7 linked regions of the Ovis aries genome follow. The protein of the gene in region 2 purifies or fractionates together with the protein of the main gene of each other region. This does not show direct contact. Links are inferred from orthologs where the notes say so. Each region holds a gene or a part of one and is shown on either strand. Other genes may lie near its edges.

Region 1 (3,100 bases), on a different chromosome or scaffold from region 2:
ACTATGATGGAGGTGTACCCGTTAGTGTGCATGGGCTTCTGAGAGGGAATGTATATAGAGATCCTGAGGGAGGAGGTCCAGAGTTCCTGCTTTCAGACATCTCTGTTTCTCACTTTTAACCCTGTTCTCCCCAGGTCTGGGACCAATTGCCATGGGGGACATGAAGACCCCTGATTTTGATGACCTCCTTGCTGCCTTTGACATCCCTGACATTGATGCAAATGAAGCCATCCATTCTGGGCCAGAAGAAAATGAGGGGCCAGGAGGCTCTGGGAAGCCTGAACCCAGTGTAGGAGGTGAATCTGGAGAAGCAACAGCAGCTCCTGCCAGGGATGGCCCTGGGGGGCCCACCCAGGCCTCTGACCATAGCCTGCCACCGCCGGACGTCTCAGCAGTCAGCGTCATCGTCAAGAACACTGTGTGTCCTGAGCAGTCAGAGTCCCTGGCTGGGAGTTCAGGAGGGGAAGGGGCCCGGGCGGGGGGAGTGACGAAGGAAGGCCCTCTGGGATCTCGGCTGATGCAGAATGGTTTTGGGGGCCCTGAGCCATCCCTTCCAGGAACCCCACGCTCTCCAGCTCCTCCTAGTGGGGGTACCTGGAAAGAAAAGTCCCTGGAAGGCAAAGCTCCACTGGATCTGTTTGCTCATTTTGGGCCTGAGCCAGGGGAGCACCCTGATCCCCTTCCTCCCTCTGCGCCCTCCCCACCTCGGGAAGGGGCCCTGACCCCACCTGCTTTCCCCTCTCCCTTTGAGCTGACCCGGGAGAATGGCTCAGCCTTGCTGCCCCCTTCTTCTCCCCCACTGCTGGGGGCCTTGAAGCAGGAAAGCTGCAGCCCTCTTCATCCCCAGAGCCTCTCCCAGCCAGGCTCAGGCGCTAGCCCTGAGGCCACGGGAGTCCCTGCCAGTGCCTCCCCTTCCCAGGTGGCAGGGGTGTCCTTCTTCAAGAAGTCTCCGGGGCACCAGAGCCCTCTTGCCTCCCCTAAAGAGCCCAGCTGTCAGCCCCTGAAGGAAGAGGAGGATGAGGGACCAGTAGACAAGTCTTCCCCGGGAAGTCCCCAGAGTCCCTCCAGTGGAGCTGAGGCTGCGGATGAGGACAGCAATGACTCCCCTGCCTCCAGCTCCTCTCGGCCTCTCAAGGTGCGGATCAAGACCATTAAAACATCCTGCGGAAATATCACAAGGACCGTAACCCGGGTCCCCTCAGACCCTGATCCCCCTACCCCCTTGGCTGAGGGGGGCTTCCTGGCGGAGGCTAACCTCCTGAAGTTGTCCCCAGCAACCCCAGCCCCCGAGGGTCCGAAGGTGGTGAGTGTCCAACTGGGTGATGGCACAAGGCTCAAGGGCACTGTGCTGCCTGTGGCCACCATTCAGAATGCAAGTACTGCCATGCTGATGGCTGCCAGCGTGGCCCGCAAAGCGGTGGTTCTGCCTGGGGGCACTGCCACCAGCCCTAAGATGATGCCTAAGAATGTGCTGGGTCTGGTGCCCCAAGCCCTGCCCAAGGCTGAGGGGAGGACAGGGCTGGGGACAGGGGGGCAGAAGGTGAATGGCGCCTCGGTGGTAATGGTGCAGCCTTCTAAGCCGGCCACTGGGCCGGGGGCAGCAGGTGGCACGGTGATCTCACGGACCCAGTCCAGCCTGGTGGAGGCCTTCAACAAGATCCTCAACAGCAAGAACCTGCTGCCTGCCTACCGGCCGAACCTGAGTCCGCCGGCTGAGGCCGGGCTGGCCCTGCCACCCACAGGCTACCGCTGCCTCGAGTGTGGGGATGCCTTCTCATTGGAGAAGAGCCTGGCGAGACACTATGACCGCCGGAGCATGCGCATTGAGGTCACCTGCAATCACTGCGCCCGCCGCCTGGTCTTCTTCAACAAGTGCAGCCTGCTTCTGCATGCCCGTGAGCACAAGGACAAGGGGCTCGTCATGCAGTGCTCACACCTGGTCATGAGGCCGGTGGCCCTGGACCAGATGGTGGGGCAGCCGGACATCACGCCCCTGCTGGCTGTCCCACCTGCCCTCGGACCTCCAGCCTTGCCCGCCTTGGGCAAGGGTGAAGGGGCCGTCACCACATCCGCCGTTACTGCAGTTGCCGCCGAGGCCCCCGTGCTGCCACTCTCAACGGAGCCACCCGCCACCCCTGCCACCTCTACCTACACGTGCTTCCGCTGCCTGGAGTGCAAGGAGCAGTGCCGCGACAAGGCTGGCATGGCTGCCCACTTCCAGCAGCTCGGGCCCCCTGCCCCTGGGGCCACCAGCAACGTGAGTTGCCTTTCACAGCCCCTCCCTGGGAAGGGGACAGCCAGGTGCCATGGGGACAGGGTCTAGGAAGGTGTGGGGGCTTGGTTAGAAGGAAAGGGGGACAGGGCCTTCCTCACAGACTCACCTTGTTTCGACCCCCTCGACAGGTATGCCCAACCTGCCCCATGATGCTTCCCAACCGCTGCAGCTTCAGCGCCCACCAGCGCATGCATAAGAACCGGCCTCCCCACGTCTGTCCTGAGTGTGGGGGCAACTTTCTGCAAGCCAATTTTCAGACCCATCTCCGGGAGGCCTGCCTACATTTCTCTCGCCGCGTAGGATACAGGTGCCTCCCACACCTCCTCCCCATATGTCGACACTTTTCCTCCTGTACTTGATGGTCTCGTGGCTCCTGGGACCAGCCTTTTAGAAGGCGAGCCCGTCTCTCCTGCTGAATCACGCAGCCATGCTGTGTTGGCGAGTGCAGCCTGAGCTCCCTGCCTTTCCGTCGCTCCCCATGGAGCGGGCGGGCCCCACGGAGCAGGCGGGCCCCATGGAGCGGGCGAGCAGGGCCACCTCTGGAGCACCAGCTCTACCTCCGCAGGCCTGCCCTCCGGGACCGGGTCCTGTGGCTCCTTCCTTCCTCCGCTTGCTCATGTTCCACTGCCGATTAACTTCTCAGGCCACCCGGTCCCCGAGAATGAGTGTGGGGTTGGGGGTGGCTGCAGGGACGCCCCCCACTCACCACCGTGCCTCTGACTTTCTCCCCAAGGTGCCCCAGCTGTGCAGTGGTGTTTGGGGGTGTGAACTCCATCAAGTCCCACATCCAGACGTCACACTGCGAGGTTTTCCACAAGTGCCCCA
Region 2 (3,926 bases):
TACTCTAAGCAAAGGAGTCGACAAATAATCACAGGGCACAAAGACGCATGCGTGGCCGGGGAAACAAAACAAAACAAAACAAAACACCTGAGGGTGCAGGCGCGCGCTAGCGCCGGGTTTTTCCCGCCCTGGAATGTTTCCATAGCAGAAGCACAACGCACCACGTGCCGGGGCAGCGCGAGGACTGAGAAAGATCCGTCGGTTGGGGTTCTGTTTTTACATAACGCCCCCACAATGCCCTTCGCCTCCTCCCTCAACGTGGCCCCCGCTCCGAGCTCATTTTCTGGACCTGGGAAATCACTCTCAGGGTTAAAAAAGGCTCTGAGGCGGAGAATGCCCAGAAACCCTGAAATGAAATAACGTCACGCAGCCCCTCACCATTACTCTGACCAGGGTTCGAAGGTCGCATTTAGCGCCCACAGCAGCCCCGTTCAAGCCCTAAGAGGAAATGGAGAAGTGCAAGGGGACAAGCAGCAGAATGGCTGGCACCACCTCAGGTTAGCCCACGGGGCCGTCCTGGTTCTCACACCGCTCAGCTCATCCCAGTACACCCTACCCAGGACCCTCAGCATGGAACCCGGCCTCACCTCCCGCCTCCGCTGCGCGAACCCCGGATGAAACAAGGGCCCCGTCGCGGGTCTCCTTGGCGGGCTGACTCCAAGGAGCAAGGCAATAAGGGCCAGGAGGGCTGGCTGGCTGGGGATGAGGTCAATGCCCCGGGCAGCAAAGTCTCGCCGAGGCCTGAGGCTCGCTGTTTGATGGGAGAAGCAAGAAGCAACCAGCCAGCCTAGTTCCTCTCCCGGCCCACCCCCTCCCCTCCATGGCCCTGCAGTCCCCGGAATCACACGACTATATTTCCCAGGCTACCTGGCCCAGAACGCGGTACTGAGTTTCCGCTTCCGGTGGCGGCTCGCAGTGCCCTGCTGCGCCCCGCCCCCAGCGTACCCCTCCCCCGGGGCCTCGTGACACCAGGGTCGTGCGCGGGTCATCCTGGGATTTGTAGTTCGCTTTTCCCTAGTTTCGTCAGTTTCTTCTTCCCAAGGACTCCATTTCCCGGCATGCACCGCGGCTCCTAACTCTAAGCACTTGCGCGTTGCCCTCTTCCCCACCCTCCCCAGTTTCCACTCCCCCCACCCCACTTCGCCTGCCGCGGTCGGGTCCGCGGCCTGCGTTGTAGCCGTCGTCGCGGTCTTTGGAAGCAGAAACTCCCCTTCCCCTCCCCGTCCCCCGGTCCCAGTCCCCGTCCAGTCGGTGAGTGTGGTGGTCGTCGCCGCGCCATGTCCCCTGTCCCTGGGCGCGGCACATGGGGTCTCCGCGTCTTGATGTGGGGGTGGGAAAGGAAATGACCCGGTCCGGCACCGAGGGTAGGAGAGGTGGCCCGAAGGGTGGAGGCGGGATGTCGGGACTTCTATGAAACGGACCTGACCACCACCTATAGGCCATGAGAAAAGGAGGGCCCAGCTCTTGCTTGGAAAGGATAAACTTCGGAACCCTTGAGAATGGGGCCAGAGACTTGCGGGGGTAGGGAGCTTGAGCCACGGCCCTACCGGAGTTGACACGGAGGAGAGAGGGGCCTGGCTTTCAGGAGCGTCAGGGATGGAGGTAGGACTAGTGGGGTCAAGACCTGTCGGTTTCTCACAGCTGGTGGACCCCGAAGAATTTCTCTATGTAATCTCAGTGAAAAGGGGCTGGAATGTAAATAAGAGGAGCTAGAGAGACGTGCTCCAGTCTCGGGTTCTTTAAGAAAAGGGTAGCCCCAAATTCTTCCATGGTTTGAGGGCAAAGTGTGGGAGGAGTGAGGATACCAGAGGTTGGGAGGGAGAGCTTAGGCTTATACTCTTCTGTCTCTAGCCGACGTGAAGATGAGCAGCTCAGAGGAGGTGTCCTGGATTTCTTGGTTCTGTGGGCTCCGTGGCAATGAATTCTTCTGTGAGGTGAGTTCTCCTCAACCCTACCATCCACCTCCACATGTAATCTGGCCACATAATCTCCTGCACATAAAGCTTCCACACACTTCTCTTACATACTTTAGTAAAAACTCTTGTCAAGGAGGAGTCTCCTTAGTAGCGCTCTCTAACTTGTGGTGAAGGGTCAAGACTGAGACCCCAAGTCAACCCTGCCACCCTCCAACAGCCTAATGTTGGACTTGTCAACCTGTGTTGTTTTTTTTTTTTTTTTTTTTTTTTACCAGGGAAGTACTGATAGTATGTATTTCTGGTAGCTATTAGGAGAATTAAAACACTTCACGTTAAAATGTTTTATAGCATGGCTGTGTGTTAACATAAGGGAGTGTAACTGACTTCAGAATCCAAGCTGTTCAGCCCCCACCTTCCTCAGAGAGCCAGCTGCCCCTCAGGAGAGGCCAAAACTGATTCCTAGAGCTAGGAACAGGAATCAGGACAGGGATCTTGAAAGGACTGCCTCTGTAAGGAGGGGATTGCTTATGTTTAGGAGAAAAAAGCCAGACCTCTTCTGGGTGGGCAGTATACACGAACTAGGGAGAGAGGTTCAAGTACTTCTGCTGAGTTGGGAGTGTGGAACAAAGGGAATGAAGCAGTTGTGTTGAAGATAAGGCACGAGTTAGAGCACCCTGCCCAGGTCAAAGCTGAGGATTCTGCTTTGGGTTTCCTTTTGACTTCACGTCCTGACAGGTGGATGAAGACTATATCCAGGACAAATTCAATCTCACTGGACTCAATGAACAGGTGCCTCACTATCGACAAGCTTTAGACATGATCTTGGACCTGGAGCCTGGTGAGACACCCTCAGGGTTGTTTTGTGTGTGTGCTGTTTTTTTCCTATTCACACCTTGTTTATCTGCTTCATGAATTTCTAAATTTCCTTTTGGTTCTCTAACCCTTTTAACCCCAAATCCTTTACTTCATTTTGATTCCATACCTCACTCTTGCCTAATTTTGTGACTTCTACACTTGTTCTCATACTCTGATCCTATAACTTAGCACTTATCGAAAATGCTAGTTTCTCCATGGGTGTTATCTTCTTCCTTGCCCCTTCCAGGTTAGAGTTCTATCTTCTGTGTTGACATCTTTGCATTTATTTATTAAAAAAGAGAAGGAAGCAGAGGCTGAGAGGGATGGAAAGAAACCCTTGGGTTGGTGGAAGGGGCAGAGGCCCAGGCTGTGGGTGGGGTGAGGCTCCAAGTTGGGTGCTGGGCTGAAGAGCCAGCAGCCCCTGGGAGTAGGCAGGGCACCTTAAAAAGTTGTAAGACAAGTGGTTGCATTTGGCTGGTGCCATGTTTCAGATGAGGAGCTGGAAGACAACCCCAACCAGAGTGACCTGATTGAGCAAGCAGCCGAAATGCTCTATGGATTGATCCACGCCCGCTATATCCTCACCAACCGTGGCATCGCCCAGATGGTGAGGCCTCTCTACTCCTACTCGGTTCCTTCAGAGGCAACAGGGAAGCAGAGTTTCCATCAGCAAGAAGTCACTCGTTTCAGCCTTGTCACGGAATCTAGCTGAGAAGAGGGGAAAGAACCCCAGAATCTGGGCCTAGGGGTTAAGACCTGATTGAGGGTTGAGGTGAAGGGAGTGTTTTGGGGGAGGGAGATGTGACCTAGAGCAGAAAGTTGTAGACTGCCTCTTCCTCAGGGAATAAGCAGTGAATGTCTGATGATCTTCAGACTGCCTGACTGGATGAAAGGAAGCAGGGGAGTCTGAAGGCCCATCTGAGCCAGAGAAGGGGCCTCTGGACATTAAGAGGCAGAAGGAGTTGGGGACACAGTGATGTGGATTGGGCTGAGGAGGGGGTTGCCTCTTTTCTTCATACCTACCCACCAACTCCTTCAATTTCATTCACATCAGTTGGAAAAGTACCAGCAGGGAGACTTTGGATACTGTCCCCGTGTGTACTGTGAGAACCAGCCAATGCTTCCCATCGGTGAGTGTTGGGAAAGGGAAAGGAG
Region 3 (2,775 bases), on a different chromosome or scaffold from region 2:
GCTGGAATGAAGTAGGGAATGAAAGGCTGGGTGTGGAGGAAAAGGGTCTGGCTAACCCTCGAGATGTATAAGTAACATTTAAAAATGACGACACTGGGAGCTGCAAACACTTGAGGGGAAACATACATTTTAAAATAAAATAAAGATAATTCACTTTTACACAAATTCTGTCCATGTGGCGTGTAAAGAAAGTAAGGCTCTTTTTAATTATGAAAAGATTTCTGTGCATGTTTCCCCTATCCCCAAATCCGTTTTTAGATGAGTTCTATTGTAAAATGTTCAAGATTGTGAAGAAAACCAAAACCCAGAACAAAATGAACCCCCCCAAAAAAAGACCAGGTTTTCTAAAAAATAAAATAAACCAAAGAAAAATTCCTCTAAATCTACAGCAATATTTTAACTGGAAAAAAGGTCCATTTTTCTCTGGTTTGTCAGTATAAAAGGTTCCTTTATTTATATATATTTAGGTTCTGAACTGCAAGTCCGTCTTGCTCATCTTCTCATGTAAGGTCCGTTGAGCGACTGCTTGGGCACGCCCGCCGCGTTCATGTAGCTGTGATGGGAGGGGCCCGTGTACATCACGTTTCCGTGCGGGCTCGGCTGCATAGGCTGCTGGGGGTAGGCCTGGCCCCCCATCACCCCCATCTGCATCTGCATAGGATACTGTGCTGTCTGGTTCATGTAGGCCGGGTTACTATGGTAACTGCTGTTCATCATGGGCTGGGTCATTCGATAGCTGTTCATGGCGTTCAGGGTGTTCATATTCATGGAATTGACATTATAGGCAGGGGTGGGCATCAAGTTCACCCCCATGTTCATGCCACGCTGCACGGCCAAGGCACGCGGGCCGGCCTGCATGGCGACCGCGGGCGGGCTGCGGCCGTACAGCTGCTGCTGGTGAGCCGCCGCGGAGGGCAGGGGCGCCGACTTGGAGCGGATGGAGATGTGCCCCTTGACGGGCATCTGCCCTTGCAGCCGCTGAGTGTGGGGAATGCCAATGTTGGTGGCAGACATGTTGCACTGCAGCAGAGGGGACGTGAGGTTCATGGTGGTGGAGGCCAAGTTCGGGGGCGGCGTCATGGTGGCTTGTGCTTGAGGGGTCCCCGCTAAGGGATGCGATGGAGCCAGCTGAGCCAGTCCCGTGTTGGACAGAGAAACACTGGTTGCATAGGAAGTCACAGCAGGAGAATGGCTATAAGGCATGGCATGGGGGTCCATAATGGTGTTGGTCAGCTGCTGCAACTTGGCTAGACTGAAGGTGGCCGACGGCTGGGAGTAGCTGCCGGCCCCAAAGTCCCCGGGGATCCGCTCGTAGATGCTGATGTTCCCCGCGCTGCCGGACTCGGGGATCTCCATGATCATGGGCGCCGGAGTGAAGCTGTTGTTCATGCTGCACTGTGACAGCGGGGGCTGCTGCTGGGGCGGGGGCGGGGGCTGTGGCTGCTGGGGCGGGGGCGGGGGCGGGGGCGGCGGCTGGGCCGGTGGTGGGGGCGGGGCCGGCGGCTGAGGCTGTGGCGGGGGCTGCTGCGACGGCTGGGGTGGCGGCGGCTGCTGCGTGCTGGGAGGCCTCTCGACCGCACAGCTCTGCGGGGACTTGATGCCGCAGTTGGCGGCGGGCGGCACGCTGCTCTGCGGCATCAGGCTGCAGCCGCCGCCCATGCCAGCCATCTGCTGGGTGACCACACAGCTGTTCTGGGTGAGGCTGCTGGAGGACGACAGGCCGTAGGAGCAGCTGCTCTGGGACGAGCTATTCCCACAGATGCTGCCGCCCATGGTGGAGTCGTAGCTGCTGGGGTTCTCGTAGTTCTCCGTGGTGCTCTCGATGCTGCCCAGGTCACTGAAGCCGCTGTCCACCACCTGCTGGGAGTGGTCGGATACGGAAGGCACGTCCATCATGGGGCTGGTCTCCATGTTCTGCATAGACGGGGCGGACAGGGATCCTTGCTCCGGGCTGATCTGCGTGTAGCCCCCTTCGAGGGCGGGCACGCTGGGGCTGCTGACCGAGCGCACTGACTGACTGGGGTGGGACTGGACGGAGGACAGCGGGCTGTTGTGCTCCGAGGCGTGGCAGTCCTCCACCAGGGCCAGCGGAGGGTCCTCCTCGGCCTGCGTGTAGCTCTGCAGCGTCTGGCAGGCGGCCAGCGTCTCCTCGCAGTCCTGGTAGGCGCCCTCGTGCTCGCCGCGCTCCTCCTGCGTCAGGGACTGCACGGCCTGCACCGTCTCCAGGTCCAGCTCGCTGTGTGGGATCTCCTCCTCCTCCTTTAGCTCCAGTAGCTCCTCCTTCGAGCGCGAGTCCTCCTCGCGGTCGTCCTCAGAGCCCGGCATGTGCTCGGACACCACGGATGCCTCGTGTGAAGTCTGCTCCTCCTCAGAATCTGGCTCCATCTCCTCCTTGTCTTTCGGGTTCTCCCCGCTGCCCTGCACGTTAGGATCTAAAAAAGCCTCCCGGCCGCCTGGCTCCTCCTTGACGCCCTCCCGCGCCGGCGGCTCCCCTGGCTCCTCCTCCTTCTTGGCGGGCTCCAGGTGGCCGTCGTCCTCATCATCCGCGTCGTGGTCTTCGCTCTGGTTGGTCTCCGCAGCCGTGTCCTCCTCCTCCTCGGGCTCCCGCCTGGCCAGCTCCTGCGGCGCCTCCTCCGACGGCCGCTGCTCTGCGGGGACGCGGAGCTTTTCCTCCTCCTCACCGGCCTCGGGCTCCTTGGCTTCGGCCTCGGGGCTGCTGGCGTCGGCGGGAGAGGCTGCCCTGACGTCACTGCTGGTGGTGTCCTCCTCCTCCCC
Region 4 (3,500 bases), on a different chromosome or scaffold from region 2:
GATAAGCTGATAAATCTACTTAAAATGTTCTTGTCAAATATTCATTGAGTGTGTGTTACGAGCCAGGACAGTGTGAGAAATGCTAGAAAAGTACAAAAAGATAAAATAGCTATAACTAAATAAGTTTAGTGCTTCAAGTAGTACTGTGGAGATAAGACATAACCAAATAACACGATCATTTGCTAAATTAAAGTTACATTAGTAAGTCATTAAGTATTTTTCTACATTATAGCCGTAGTATAGCTATGAAATTTAGATGCTAAAATTTTAGAATTATAAAGGGATGACCACAGAAGCTATATCTAGTATCTTTTTTCCACTTATACCCAAAAGGTTTAAATGCTTTATATGTCAATTTATATTTCCCTAAAAAGATCCCTTTTCTCAGAAATACATTTCATTTATAAACAGGAAAGTACTCCTTAAGTAATATTCTCAAAGTCTCTCACATGGAAACGTTGAAGTTTTATATTTTCCCATCAACTTCTCAGTTTGAGGCTTTAATATACCAGAAGATCATAATTTAAAAATAACTCAGTTTGTGAAATTATGACAAGTCCTGTCACCTTTTTCCTTTCTTACAATTATTAAAAATCTTTTAATTAACTTTGAATTTTTTCTTTTAGAAAACATTGTTTAAAAAAAATTAAATAAAGAGAAAACATTGTTAAAGTTCTACGTTTTCTGTTTTATTAGGAAATCCAGACTTGTCATTGTTTCAGTAGATAATATGCTTGTTAAAATTTAGGTATATTATTATTCTTTACTATGTAATTCAAAGTATAGCATATAAACTGTTTATTAGACATTATTTTTACACTTCTGTATATACTATGCAGAGTCCATTTTTTGTGAGTGAAATTCACAGATGGGACAAGTCACAAAAGCAAGAATGTGAACTTCTCTTCCATTAATGACATTAAAAGAAAAAGAGAGCAACAGATGTAGGTTTAAGATAAGATGACCCTAATTTTCATCTCATAAAATTTGCTCTCCTATTTGTGCATCTCAGTGTTGCATTTTCTTTTTCAATTATACTGTCAAAATGTTGGCTTATTTCTTCAAAGTTTTACTTTATACTTAAGCCATTTCTTAACTTCAAAATCTAAGGTAATATGACATTTGTTTTATTTTCACATTTTTGCCCCAGTAAGTTCCTTTTTTGTTGTTTTCTTTTATAGATACAGACATCAGTGAATCTGGCATTTCACTGAGAAGTACTGGCTCAGCAGCTTCCTTGGCTAGTCAGGGAGAGAGAAGGAGACGAACCCTTCCCCAGCTTCCAAGTGAAGAAAAGTCTCTTGAGAGCTCCAGAACAAAGGTTATAGCACAGAGGTCAGAGATAGGAGAAAAGCAAGACACGGAGCTTCAGGAGAAAGAAGCACCTGCCCAGGTATACCAGAAAGATAAACAAGACACTGACAGAGCCTTGAGTAAAATGAACAGGGCAGTAAATGGTGAGACTCTTAAAAATGGTGGAGATAGTAAAGCCCTGCTTCACTTAGGCAGCTCTTACTCTGGGAAGGAGAAAAGTGAAACTGATAAGGAAGCTTCTTTGGTAAAGCAAACATTAGCTAAAATCCAGCAACAAGAACAAAAGGAACAGGCACAGTGGACACCTACTAAATTATCTTCTTCAAAAACCATTGCGGGTCAGATAGATAGATGTAGGGAGGAGTCTTTTAAGCAGGAGTCACAGCCTCAAGAAAAAATTCCAGGACTTTCTGCAGGCAAAGGAGAAAGAGCAATACAAAATGAGGGTAAGAGAAGAAAAGCTGAGGAAATTCTGAAAAGTCAGACCTCAAAGGGAGGAGACAAGAAGGAATCCTCCAAGTCGTTAGTGCGACAAGGAAGCTTCACTATAGAAAAACCTAGCCCCAACATACCCATAGAACTTATCCCCCATATAAATAAACAGCCTTTATCAACACCCCCTTCCTTAGCATTAACAACAGCCAGCAGAATAAGAGAAAGAAGTGATTCTATGGATACTGATTCTAGTATGGACACGACCCTTATTCTAAAAGACACAGAAGCAGTAATGGCTTTTCTAGAAGCTAAACTGCGTGAAGATACTAAAACTGATGAAGGCCCAGATACTCCCAGTTATAACAGAGACAACTCCATTTCACCCGAATCTGATGTGGACACAGCTAGTACCATCAGTCTGGTTACTGGAGAGACTGAAAGAAAGTCAACCCAAAAGCGAAAGAGTTTCACTAGTCTCTATAAAGATAGGTGTTCCACAGGTTCTCCTTCCAAAGATGTTACAAAGTCGTCATCGTCGGGTGCTAGGGAGAAAATTGAAAAAAAAACAAAAAGTCGTTCTGCAGATATAGGTTCTCGGGCAGAGGGTCGTAAATTTGTGCAGTCCAGTGGAAGAATAAGGCAGCCTTCAGTAGATTTAACAGATGATGACCAAACCTCTAGTGTACCTCACTCGGCCATCTCTGATGTTATGTCATCTGACCAGGAAACTTACTCTTGTAAATCTCATGGAAGGACTCCACTTACCTCAACTGATGAGCACGCACATTCCAAACTAGAAGGAAGTAAAGTAACTAAATCCAAGACTTCTCCTGGAGCACCTGGTTCGTCCAGTAAATCCACCACTCTACCAAGGCCACGACCTACCAGGACTTCCCTCTTGCGCAGAGCCCGACTCGGTGAAGCTTCGGACAGTGAACTTGCTGATGCTGACAAAGCATCTGTTGCTTCTGAAGTGTCCACAACAAGTTCGACATCCAAACCTCCCACAGGAAGGCGTAACATTTCTAGGATTGATTTGTTGGCTCAGCCTCGTAGAACAAGGCTTGGCTCATTATCGGCTCGCAGTGACTCTGAAGCAACGATCTCTAGAAGTAGTGCCTCTTCACGGACCGCAGAAGCCATCATTAGAAGTGGAGCCAGATTAGTACCTTCAGATAAATTTTCTCCTAGAATTAGAGCTAACAGTATCTCTCGACTATCCGACTCCAAGGTCAAAAGTATGACCTCAGCACATGGCTCTCCTTCAGGTAAATTGGATCCAGACTTTTTATATTAGTGTATTTCTTTTATGTTTTGGGACTTCTTCTTTGAAAAATTGTTAGTGTCGATTCCCAAAATTTTCAGCAGAAAGATCATACTGTAGAGGGTTTTGTTCCTTAAAAAGTCACCTTAGTTAGCTTGAAAGTGAAGTGAAAGTGTCAGTTGCTCAGTTGTGTCCAACTCTCTGCGATCCCATGGACTGTAGCCCACCAGGCTCCTCTATCCATAGAATTCTCCAGGCAAGAATACTGGAGTGGGTTGCCGTTCCCTTCTCCAGGGGATTTCCTGACCCAGGGATCAAACTCGGGTCTCCTGCAATACAGGTAGATTTTTTACCTTCTGGGCCACCAGGAGGAAAATTCAGAAGTTATATACACTTCCATTTAAAGTCCTGGTACAAAATAGTGAATTCAAAATTTGAAGTATATTGAACCAATTTGAGAATTTTAATTGTCTACTTGGTGAGATAT
Region 5 (4,017 bases), on a different chromosome or scaffold from region 2:
GCCAAGACTTCTTTCCTACCCAGGGATCGAACGCAGGTCTCCCGCATTGCAGGTGTATTCTTTACCAGCTGAGCTACAAGGGAAGCCCAAGAATGTAGCAGAGGAGATAAATGTTAGAATAAGAACAGCTCAGCAAGACTGTCTTCTTGGCATATTTTCTATTGGTCTGGTGTGTCACTATATTCTACCAATGTCCTTTTCACTTTTTTGGAACTTCTCTTAGCTTAGAAAATGTCCTGAGGCATTGCGTCCAGAAGACCACTGTTCAAATGAACCTTTTGTAGGATGCTTAGGTGTAGAGATGGATAGGGCCGCCAGTGTCTTCTTCAGCCCTCTTAACAAATTGGTATTATCTTGTCAGAATAGTTTACATACTGCCACTCTGGGAAGACAAGTGAGTCATAGAACAGTTGAGTTCAGCGACATTCGTGACATAATGGAGGTAGATGGGGGACACTCCGAGCTCACCCACCTAAGGAGACAGGGTGAGCCCAGTGAGGCCATCAAACTTTCCATAAGAGGACACAGGTTTCATCCCATTGTGGCGTGATGATGCCAAAGGAAAGCACTTATTGTACAATTTTATTTCTACTGGAATTTTACTTAAATTATCTCCAGATGATAACCGTGGCCCCCTGCATCGGGAATCCCCCTGTTTGCTAACACTACTTTCAAAAATTCGTGATTCTGTTTGCAGACTACCAACGAGGAAGAGAAGTGAGGGGTACTCAGTGAGTTAGGAAATGAATTCACAGGACGTTCCTGCTGAGGAGTAACGGGCTGGGGGTGAAGCCAGGCCTTTTCGCGCTCCCCTAATTGATACCCTACCTGTTCCTGTAGTAATACTGCTGTGCTATACTCTTCGACCGGGCTTGCAGCCTGGCTAACGTGGCCATAGCCTCCGCTCGCCCGCTGCACCTCCGGAGTTACTCTCGGTCTCCTAGGCAACCGGGCTAAACCATTACCCAGATCTCGGGGATTCAACTTTCGTTGACTTCACATTTTTTTCCTCCCACACTCTTTCAGTGTCCGAAACACCAGAAAGAAAAACTAAGAAACGTTGATAATTAAAGATTTCAAATTATTGACCCCTCTCCCTTCTCTGAGGAAAAAAGAGGAGATTTTCAGAGAAAGAAGCAGTGGAGGTGGGGAGGGGAACTAATGGTTGCTCCCAGCTTCCGTTTTCCGCCTGCTGTCGGCTTCCGGAAGCTCGGCTCAAAATGCTGAACTGCTCCTGGGAAGTCGCTGGTGGTGCGGTAGTTGGAGTCTGTTCTCGGGCCTGAGCCTCGAGGCCAGGCTCTTGGGTGTCGTTAATGTTCGGGGCCGCCGGGCGCCAACCGATCGGAGCTCCAGCCGCCGGGAACAGCTGGTGAGGCTGGCCGCCCTGGGGATGGGCGATCCGGAAAGGGTGTGATGGCCGGGGGCCGCTGGACCTGGAATGGAAGGGGGAGGGAGTTGTGATGGATGATCTGAAGACCTTTAGGCCTTGCTCTCTTTTCGTTCCTGGGATGGACGCAGTTTAAGGAAGGCGTGGAAGTGTGTGCTAAAGATTTGCGAAGGAATACAGTCAATGCTTGCTGATTGCTTGTCTACTACGCCACAATAATGTAGGAGGAAAGCTTTCTGTACGCCCGGAGCAATTCATTTCTTCGTTGACTGTTGACAAGACGAGGATTACAGAAGAATCTATCTTACTATAGGCATTATTTCCTCATTTTCCTTTTTAAATTTGCAAGATTGTACCAGGTGTTTTCGAAGATCAATTCCCAGAAATCTAGACTTCTGGAAGTTTAGAAGTGGAGGAGACTGCCTTCCTACGCCCCCTCTTTTGGAGTAGGTGTAACCTACCAGTTTCTGTCCCTTGAACCTTCCATTCTAGTTCAGATGAGATGTGCATGGGATGTCCCCTGAGAACTTAAAATGTCAGGGTTAAATTTAGGGTTCGACTGCAGTATTATACCGCTAAACCACTTTAGAATAATAAGCTGCTTTGACTTGGCAAAGTTCTTTAACAAATTGCTACGTTTTATCCTTATGAAGGGCCTGTGATAGGAGATTATCACAGGCACAGAATGGTTAAGGGACTTGTTCAGTGTTGCCATGCAGGCTTTAGCCCTAGAGCTGGAAGTTGGGTTTTGGATTCCTAGTTGAAAACTATTTCTACTCCTGTTTTTCTCACAAGACGTTTTCCTCCAAGACAAGCAGTGACACAAACAAAATTTCCAATGACGTTCTCAAACCATAAAGTTGAACAACAGGTGAAATGCAGCTGAAATGTGTCAGTCCATTCCTAGATTCTGCAGCAAATGAGAATCTGAGGGATTCTAGTAGTTAGTGATCTCCAAGAAGTTCTTTTGCATCATCTATCATTGAATAAAGAATATGTTGCTTAAAATGTTTTGAATGAGATCAGATCGTTCTGTAGTTGTTTTTATAATGAAAAGACTTGGTTATGCTCCTTTGACTTTTTTTTTTTAGTTGAAATATAGTTAATTTACAATATTGTATAAGTTTTAGGTGTTCAACACTGTGATTCAGTATTTTTACAGATTGTACTTCATTAAACATTATTACAAAATAATGGAAATGGGGCAGATTAGGGGTATGAGATTGAGATACAAGCTACTGTGTACACAGTAGATAAGCAACAAGGATACAAGGTATAGCACAGGAAATTATTATCTTGGTTATGCTCCTTTTTAATACATTTTCCTGTGAGAAAAATAAGGAGCACTTTTTTTTTTTAAAGAGCATTTTATTTTAATGGTAATTAGCATAAAATAAAACGCATAGTTCTTAAGTGTTTAGTATTTTTAGTTTTGGCAGTTGTATATACTGTGTGACCACAACACAAAGCAAGATATAAGACGTTTCCATCATCCCAAGCACGAGTCCCTCTCCAGATTACCTTTCTTAATGTTTCACCATTCAGCATCTTTTTAAGAAGGGGAGACAAAATGTGCCGTATAGATTGGTCTGCTCTTGCTGTAGTGATTACTGATTTGTAGGATAGATGACAGTTTAATGGGAAAATATGACTGCTTAAACTCCTCTTCCTCCTCCTATCCAAATCATGGTTAGGTCCCTCTTTGTAAGGGAAGATCCCTTTGGAGTGGGAAATTGCAACCTACTCCAGTACTTTTGCCTGGAAAATTCCATGGACAGAGGAGCCTGGGGGGCTATAGTCCCAAGGTGTCACCAAGAGTCAGACATGACTGAACACACAAACACACACATACACACACACACACACACACACATCCTTTTTGTGATATAGAGAACTTTCTTTCAGTTCTCTATTTTTCTTGAGATGAACTACGTCCTTTCTTACGGCATCAGAGTATAATATAGTGCCTAGCATGTTATTAGTGTTTTGAATAAAATTCTTGAATTATGCCTGATTTGACAGTGAGTGTTCCAGAAATTTGGATCCTATATTTTCTAGTTTATCTGTGCAACCATCTTGTTATTCAGACTTTCTTAATGGAATTTTCTTTTTCATTCATTCATCAGACATTGACTGTACTAAACATGTGAGTTTTGTCCCAGTGATGACATCTCAGTGCCAGTCAGGATGCTACTTAGTCGGTGTAGGTAATTGGTGCCAGCTTTTGTGTATATATGTCATCTCATGTATTGGGTTGCCGAGAAGTTTGTTTGGGCATTTTTCTACAGTGTTAGGAAAAACCTGGACAAACTTTTTGGTCAACCCAATAAATCTTTTGAAATAGGTGCTGTTATTCTTTGCATTTTAGAGATGGCAAGACAGGAGCAGATATTGTTTAAGTATTATTAACTTAGCCAAGCATCATATTTGCAGTATGATTCTAGTATATCTGGGCTTCCCTTGTGACTGAGCTGGTAAAAAGAATCCGCCTACAATACAGGAGACCTGGGTTCGATCCCTGGGTTAGGAAGATTCCCTGGAGGAGGGACACTTCCAGTATATCTAAAAAAAATTTCTTAGTTATCCTGCTGTACTGCCTGTGCATCTGAATGAGATACCATATCACAAGG
Region 6 (2,217 bases), on a different chromosome or scaffold from region 2:
TTTTGCGGGTGGGTTTTAAGGTGGCCACAACAGAGAGGGGAGTACCAAACCACCTTACCTGCCTCCTGAGAAATCTGTATGCAGGTCAAGAAACAACAGAATCGGACATGGAACAACGGACTGGTTCCAAATTGGGAAAGGAGTACATCAAAGCTATATATTGTCATCCTGTTTATTTAACTTATATGCAGAGTACATCATGCAAAATGCGGGCTGGATGAAGCACAAGCTGGAATCAGGATTGCTGGGAGAAATATCAATAACCTCAGATATGCAGATAATACCACCCTTATGGCAGAAAGCGAAAACTGAGGAGCCTCTTCATGAAAGTGAAAGAGGAGAGTGAAAAAAGCAGGCTTAAAACTCAACATTCAAAAAATGAAGATAATGGCATCGGGTCCCATCACTTCATGGCACATAGATGGGGAAACAATGGAAACAGTGACAGACTTTATTTTCTTGGGCTCCAAAATCACTGCAGATGGTGACTGCAGCCATGAAATTAACAGACGCTTGCTCCTTGGAAGAAAAGCTACGACAAACCTAGACAGCATATTAAAAAGCAGATATTACTTTGCTGACAAAGGTCCATCTAGTTAAAGCTATGATTTTTCCAGTAGTAATGTATGGATGTGAGAGTTGGACTATAAAGAAAGCTGAGCACCGAAGAGTTGATGCTTTTGAACTATGGTGTTGGAGAAGACTCTTCAGAGTCCCTTGGACTGCAAGGAGATCAAACTTGTCAATCCTAAAGGAAATCAGTCCTGAATATTCATTGGAAAGACTGATGCTGAAGCTGAAGTTCCAATCCTTTGGCTACCTGATTCGAAGAAGTGACTCATTGGAAAAGACCCTGATGCTGGAAAGATTGAAGGCAAGGGGAGAAGGGAAGGACAGAGGATGAGATGGTTGGATGGCATCACTGATTTGATGGACATGAGTTTGAGCAGACTGCAGGAGTTGGTGATGGACAGGGAAGCCTGGTAGTGCTGCAGTCCATGGGGTCACAAAGAGTCGGACACGACTGAGGGACTGAACTGAACTTCAAGGTGGCCAAAGGGACTGCTGCTGCTGCTAAGTCGCTTCAGTCATGTCCAACTCTTTGCGACCCTGTGGACCGAAGCCAGCCACGTCCTCTGTCCATAGGATTCTCAGGCCCAAGAACATTGGAGTGGACTGCCATGCCCTTCTCCAGGGGATTTTCCCCACCCAGGGATCCAACCGGCATCTGTTACCTCGCTTGCATTGGCAGGCGGGTTCTTTACCACTAGCGCCACTGGGAAGGAACAGTACGGGGTAGAACGGCAAGCGAGTCCTAAGATGGTTCTTGGAGGGGCGTGGTGATAGTCTTGAGGTCAGGTTTGAATGTGGTAGGAGCCTGAAACTGGGGGCGGGGCTCGATGGTGACCTCAGGGCGGGATCCGGCGGGCGGGCGGGGTCTCAGTAGGCGGTGACCCCGGCCCGTCACGCTGCCCGCAGCTGCACACGTACCTGGTCCTGGAGCTCCTGCAGGGCGGGGAGCTGCTGGAGCACATCCGCAAGAAGCGGCACTTCAGCGAGTCCGAGGCGAGCCAGATCCTGCGCAGCCTCGTGTCGGCAGTGAGCTTCATGCACGAGGAGGCGGGCGTAGTGCACCGCGACCTGAAGCCCGAGGTGAGCGCACGGCCTCAGCGCATCGGGAGGGCCTCGGCGCGGAGGGCCGGGTTCTGACGGCCGCCTCGCCTCCCTCGTAGAACATCCTGTACGCCGATGACACGCCCGGGGCCCCGGTGAAGATCATCGACTTCGGGTTCGCGCGCCTGCGCCCGCAGAGCCCCGCGGGGCCCATGCAGACTCCCTGCTTCACGCTGCAGTACGCCGCCCCCGAGCTGCTGGCCCAGCAGGGCTACGACGAGTCCTGCGACCTCTGGAGCCTCGGCGTTATTCTGGTATGGGGACGGCCTCTCTGAGCGGATGTCAGGGTCCTCCGAGCCTGGGGACAGCAGTCCTCTTGGTGGGGGTGGCAGGATTTGGTCTGAGGCTGGGATAAGATGTCCTGATACATAGGCGGGGTCGCTCTGGTGCTGGGGTCTGGGCACCCTAGTTTGAGGGGTAGAGTCCATCACCCATGGACCTCAGGAGTTAGCCTCTTGGAGACAGTGCATGGTCCTGTGGTGGGTTGAATCAGTCTCCTGGCCTCCATTGGCCCCTAGTCTGGGCTGGTCTCACTTTTCACCT
Region 7 (4,040 bases), on a different chromosome or scaffold from region 2:
ACTATGTCAAAGCCTTTGACTGTGTGGATCACAATAAACTGTGGAAAATTCTGAGAGAGATGGGAATGCCAGACCACCTGACCTGCCTCTTGAGAAATCTGTATGCAGGTCAGGAAGCAACAGTTAAAACTGGACATGGAACAACAGACTGGTTCCAAATAGGAAAAGGAGTACATCAAGGCTGTATGTTGTCACCCCGCTTATTTAACTTATATGCAGAGTACATCATGAGAAACGCTGAAGCTGGAATCAAGATTGCCAGGAGAAATATCAATAACCTCAGATATGCAGATGACACCATCCTTATGGCAGAAAGTGAAGAGGAACTAAAAAGCCTCTTGATGAAAGTGAAAGAGGAGAGTGAAAAAGTTGGCTTAAAGCTCAACATTCAGAAAACGAAGATCATGGCATCTGGTCCCATCACTTCATGGGAAATAGACGGGGAAACAGTGGAAACAGTGGCTGACTTTATTTTGGGGGGCTCCAAAATCACTGCAGATGGTGATTGCAGCCATGAAATTAAAAGACTCTTACTCCTTGGAAGAAAAGTTATGACCAACCTAGATCGCATATTCAAAAGCAGAGACATTACTTTGCCGACTAAGGTCTGTCTAGTCAAGGCTATGGTTTTTCCAGTAGTCACGTATGGATGTGAGGGTTGGACTGTGAAGAAGGCTGAGCACCGAAGAATTGATGCGTTTGAACTGTGGTGTTGGAGAAGACTCTTGAGAGTCCCTTGGACTGCAAGGAGATCCAATCAGTCCATCCTAAAGGAGATCAGCCCTGGGATTTCTTTTGGAAGGAATGATGCTAAAGCTGAAACTCCAGTACTTTGGCCACCTCATGTGAAGAGTTGACTCATTGGAAAAGACTCTGATGCTGAGAGGGACTGGGGGCAGGAGGAGAAGGGGACGACGGAGGATGAGATGGCTGGATGGCATCACTGACTCGATGGACGTGAGTCTGAGTGAACTCCGGGAGTTGGTGATGGACAGAGAGGCCTGGCATGCTGCGATTCATGGGGTCGCAAAGAGTCGGACACGACTGAGCGACTGAACTGAACTGAACTGAACTGAACATGTAGATCTTAGAATTGAGCAGCCTCATTCGGAACCCGAAGGATGAGGGAACCTTGTTGCCCCACCGGCTTCCTTACACGGCTACACACATCCCGTTCCTGAGTCAGTAGGACCGCCTAGGTCTGGGGAAGGAATTTGCCGACGTACCCGGAACTGTTTCCAAGGTTTCCTCGGGTTCTGGCGGAGGTACGGCTGCCGGTCCTGGGAGCCAAGGCAACGGAGAATTTTCCCAGGCTCGCGCGAGCGCCCCCTTCACCCACGGATTCAGGGACCCAGCAATAGCGATGGCTCCGGTGTCTGGCTCCCGCAGCCCGGAGTGGGAGGCCTCGAGCTCCGGGGGGAAGCGTCGCAGTTCTTCGAAGAGCCCTAAGCCTAGCAAATCCTCTCGCTCCCCGCGCGGCCGCCGCTCTCGCTCGCGCTCTTGCTCTCGGTCCGGGGACCGGAATGGCCTCAGCCATCAGCTGACTGGCTCCAGCCAAGGCTCCCGAAACCAGTCCTACCGTTCGCGCTCGCGATCACGCTCTCGAGAGCGGCCCTCCGCACCGCGCGGCGCCCCTTTCGCTTCTGCCTCCTCGTCTGCCTATTATGGCGGCTACTCACGCCCCTACGGGAGCGACAAGCCGTGGCCTAGCCTCCTGGACAAGGAGAGGGAGGAGAGCTTGCGGCAGAAGTGAGTGAGACGAACGCACTTTCTTTCGCAAGCCCACCAGCCTTTAGAGTCCGATTTATCGTTCATTTCGCACCCGACTGTTTGCATTTCGCTCTCTCCCTGACTTGCGCGCGTTTTCATCCTTTCTGTCAGTCCACCCACGATGACGCCTTATTCATCCCTTTCCATCGTTAGGTTTTTCCGCTCATCCTCCGGCCCCTTCATCTAATGCCTTGGTCTCCCTCCCGCTACCCCTTCCAGCCTCCTGGCTTGTTGCGGGCATGGTCAAGAGCCTCGGACCTGCCGGAATTACAGCATTTACTTGGTTGTGTCGTTGTCATTAGTGATCACGTTTTCATTCCCCAGTAGACTGAGCCCTTGGAAGAGCCCAGATTATTGATCACAAAATTTACAGTGCAGAGCACTTTGTAGGTGCGCAACCATTGCTTGCTGAATGATCAAACAGGTTTGAGACAATAGGATAAGTGAGTGGAGTTGTTTTGCAGCGACTTGGGAAAGGTTGAGATATAAGGTTTAAATTGGAGGGGAGGGGAACCTCTGAAACAAGATGACTAAATGTAGGGAAAAAATGATGTGTAGGAAAAAATTATCTGTTAAACTGTAAGGTTGGACTACATTGAGAAAGATCTTAAGCGGTCTCAATCTTCAGCATGAAAAATGAGGTCAGATTGACATCAGATCTTCTTTAATGACTGAGTATTGGAGAGGAAGATGAATAGTTTAAGGGGAAAGGAAAATAATTATAATTACTGTTTTGTAAGCTTTATTTTTTTTTACTTAAAAGAATTGAAGTATAGTAGATATATAGTGTTTTTAAGTTACCAGTGTACAATAATATAGTGATTCACTATTTTTAAAGGTTATACTTCATTTATAGCAGTTATGTGCTTTGTAATTCTTAATATCTAATGCTTATTGAGTGTTAAATTGTGTGTCAGACACTGTACTGATCATACTGTATGTGTTTAAAAATAAAAAAAAAATTTAAAAGTGTAACAGGCATTGAGGGGCAGGTTAAGGTTTCAACAATTGGGAGATAGCTTGAGTCTTTTTCTTCCAAAAGTGGGGGCCACTAAAGTCTAGTGATTAAGAGAACAGGCTCCAGAATCAGACTGCCTGAGTCTGAAGCCCTCCTTTGTTGCTTAATACTTGTGTGACCTTGGGCAAGTTATTTAACCTCTCTTAGTTTCATTTCTTCACCATGTAAAAGGGAAAAATTAGTACAAAAGCTTTTTAGAGATGTAATGATTTAGTGCCTGGAACACAATAAATTGCTCTTAAGTGTTAGCTGTTAGTATTTTGTGCATGGGAACAGAAACAGTAAAAACAGTCCTAAAATAGATTGGAGACTGACTTCTCCAAATTAAAATTTCCAGAAGGTAACCCCCAGGCTGTGTCCATCAAAAAGCATCCAGTTTCCATGCTAGACATTCCTTACCAAAAGATGTCAGAATTCCTTGGATGAAATTTTCGTTTGTACATTTAGGAAGTAAATAATTTTAAAGTATCCACGAAGTTGGGTGGCAGGAGGGATAAGAACTTTACTGCTTGGTCTTTTTAGCCTGTCAAGCATTCTTCATCCTGTATGTATGTATTCAAAGTTTAGCTATAAGTATGTCCTCTATTAGATTTTATGTTACTTCAAGTAGGAAACCGGAGTCTAACTCTGCACAATTATACCTTTTCCCCTGAATAAGGAAGAAAAAAATATTTTGTTTTAAAAAATCAAAAAGGATTTTATTTCTTTAATAAGGTTCTTCTTTTAAACAAGTGGAGTCACAGCAGCTGAAGTTTGAAGAAGTAAACCTTAGTTTTTGTTGTGTATTTGTGTGTTTATAAGGAATATCAAACATTAAGAAATCACATGTTTGGGAATGCATGTAAGAATTAAAGATTTTAAAATTAAAAAAATAAAAAAGAAATCACAAACATAAAACAAAATAATTTTGTTTTCCAAGGGTAGATAGAGAATTTACTCCTTTTTGAAAAAAAAATTAGGGGAAAAACAGAAAACAAACGCTATATCTCATTAAGTAAAGTTTTGTCAAAACTTTTCTTTTACTTTCAAAGGTCCCTTTATTTTCTACTTCTAATGCTTCATTTTTATTTTCTTCATTAATTCCTGACTTTTTGAAAACGAAGGTTTGACCTTGTCAGGAGTAGAGAATTCTCTTTACTTTCATAAGGATACATAAACAAATGAAGTTATTTCCAAATGTAAGACCATTTTTGTCACATATTGCAGAAGATGAAATGAGCAATTGGGAGCTGTGTGATGCATGTACTAGAAA

What was found.
Region 1: the proteins of CSNK2B (region 2) and ZNF687 purify together in Homo sapiens (co-immunoprecipitation; 3 studies listed by BioGRID and IntAct, with this or other methods). This does not show direct contact. The link is inferred for Ovis aries from reciprocal best matches to the Homo sapiens genes CSNK2B and ZNF687.
Region 3: the proteins of CSNK2B (region 2) and KAT6A purify together in Homo sapiens (affinity purification with mass spectrometry; 3 studies listed by BioGRID and IntAct, with this or other methods). This does not show direct contact. The link is inferred for Ovis aries from reciprocal best matches to the Homo sapiens genes CSNK2B and KAT6A.
Region 4: the proteins of CSNK2B (region 2) and CEP170 purify together in Homo sapiens (affinity purification with mass spectrometry; 3 studies listed by BioGRID and IntAct, with this or other methods). This does not show direct contact. The link is inferred for Ovis aries from reciprocal best matches to the Homo sapiens genes CSNK2B and CEP170.
Region 5: the proteins of CSNK2B (region 2) and GPATCH2 purify together in Homo sapiens (co-immunoprecipitation; 3 studies listed by BioGRID and IntAct, with this or other methods). This does not show direct contact. The link is inferred for Ovis aries from reciprocal best matches to the Homo sapiens genes CSNK2B and GPATCH2.
Region 6: the proteins of CSNK2B (region 2) and RPS6KA4 purify together in Homo sapiens (affinity purification with mass spectrometry; 3 studies listed by BioGRID and IntAct, with this or other methods). This does not show direct contact. The link is inferred for Ovis aries from reciprocal best matches to the Homo sapiens genes CSNK2B and RPS6KA4.
Region 7: the proteins of CSNK2B (region 2) and NKAP purify together in Homo sapiens (co-immunoprecipitation; 3 studies listed by BioGRID and IntAct, counting the BioPlex papers as one, with this or other methods). This does not show direct contact. The link is inferred for Ovis aries from reciprocal best matches to the Homo sapiens genes CSNK2B and NKAP.

The regions. Positions count from the first base shown.
Region 1 is NC_056054.1:101,198,050-101,201,149, forward strand, and holds part of ZNF687 (zinc finger protein 687), read left to right. Parts: intron 1-134; 5' UTR 135-151; coding exon 152-2,257; intron 2,258-2,403; coding exon 2,404-2,582; intron 2,583-3,008; coding exon 3,009-3,100. UniProt on the Homo sapiens protein: May be involved in transcriptional regulation.
Region 2 is NC_056073.1:26,713,242-26,717,167, reverse strand, and holds the start of CSNK2B (casein kinase II subunit beta), read left to right. Parts: upstream 1-1,126; 5' UTR 1,127-1,251; intron 1,252-1,851; 5' UTR 1,852-1,862; coding exon 1,863-1,934; exon of another isoform or gene 1,935-2,651; coding exon 2,652-2,754; exon of another isoform or gene 2,755-3,262; coding exon 3,263-3,378; exon of another isoform or gene 3,379-3,825; coding exon 3,826-3,901; exon of another isoform or gene 3,902-3,926. UniProt on the Homo sapiens protein: Regulatory subunit of casein kinase II/CK2.
Region 3 is NC_056079.1:36,183,158-36,185,932, forward strand, and holds part of KAT6A (histone acetyltransferase KAT6A), read right to left. Parts: coding exon 493-2,775; 3' UTR 1-492. UniProt on the Homo sapiens protein: Histone acetyltransferase that acetylates lysine residues in histone H3 and histone H4 (in vitro). Component of the MOZ/MORF complex which has a histone H3 acetyltransferase activity. May act as a transcriptional coactivator for RUNX1 and RUNX2.
Region 4 is NC_056065.1:33,253,039-33,256,538, forward strand, and holds part of CEP170 (centrosomal protein of 170 kDa), read left to right. Parts: intron 1-1,181; coding exon 1,182-3,017; intron 3,018-3,500.
Region 5 is NC_056065.1:20,347,057-20,351,073, reverse strand, and holds the start of GPATCH2 (G patch domain-containing protein 2), read left to right. Parts: upstream 1-1,217; 5' UTR 1,218-1,313; coding exon 1,314-1,369; intron 1,370-4,017. Other genes in the region: SPATA17 (spermatogenesis-associated protein 17), read right to left, coding at 829-896. UniProt on the Homo sapiens protein: Enhances the ATPase activity of DHX15 in vitro.
Region 6 is NC_056074.1:39,108,489-39,110,705, forward strand, and holds part of RPS6KA4 (ribosomal protein S6 kinase alpha-4), read left to right. Parts: intron 1-1,479; coding exon 1,480-1,653; intron 1,654-1,733; coding exon 1,734-1,928; intron 1,929-2,217. UniProt on the Homo sapiens protein: Serine/threonine-protein kinase that is required for the mitogen or stress-induced phosphorylation of the transcription factors CREB1 and ATF1 and for the regulation of the transcription factor RELA, and that contributes to gene activation by histone phosphorylation and functions in the regulation of inflammatory genes.
Region 7 is NC_056080.1:114,588,889-114,592,928, forward strand, and holds the start of NKAP (NF-kappa-B-activating protein), read left to right. Parts: upstream 1-1,240; 5' UTR 1,241-1,363; coding exon 1,364-1,749; intron 1,750-4,040. UniProt on the Homo sapiens protein: Acts as a transcriptional repressor. Plays a role as a transcriptional corepressor of the Notch-mediated signaling required for T-cell development. Also involved in the TNF and IL-1 induced NF-kappa-B activation.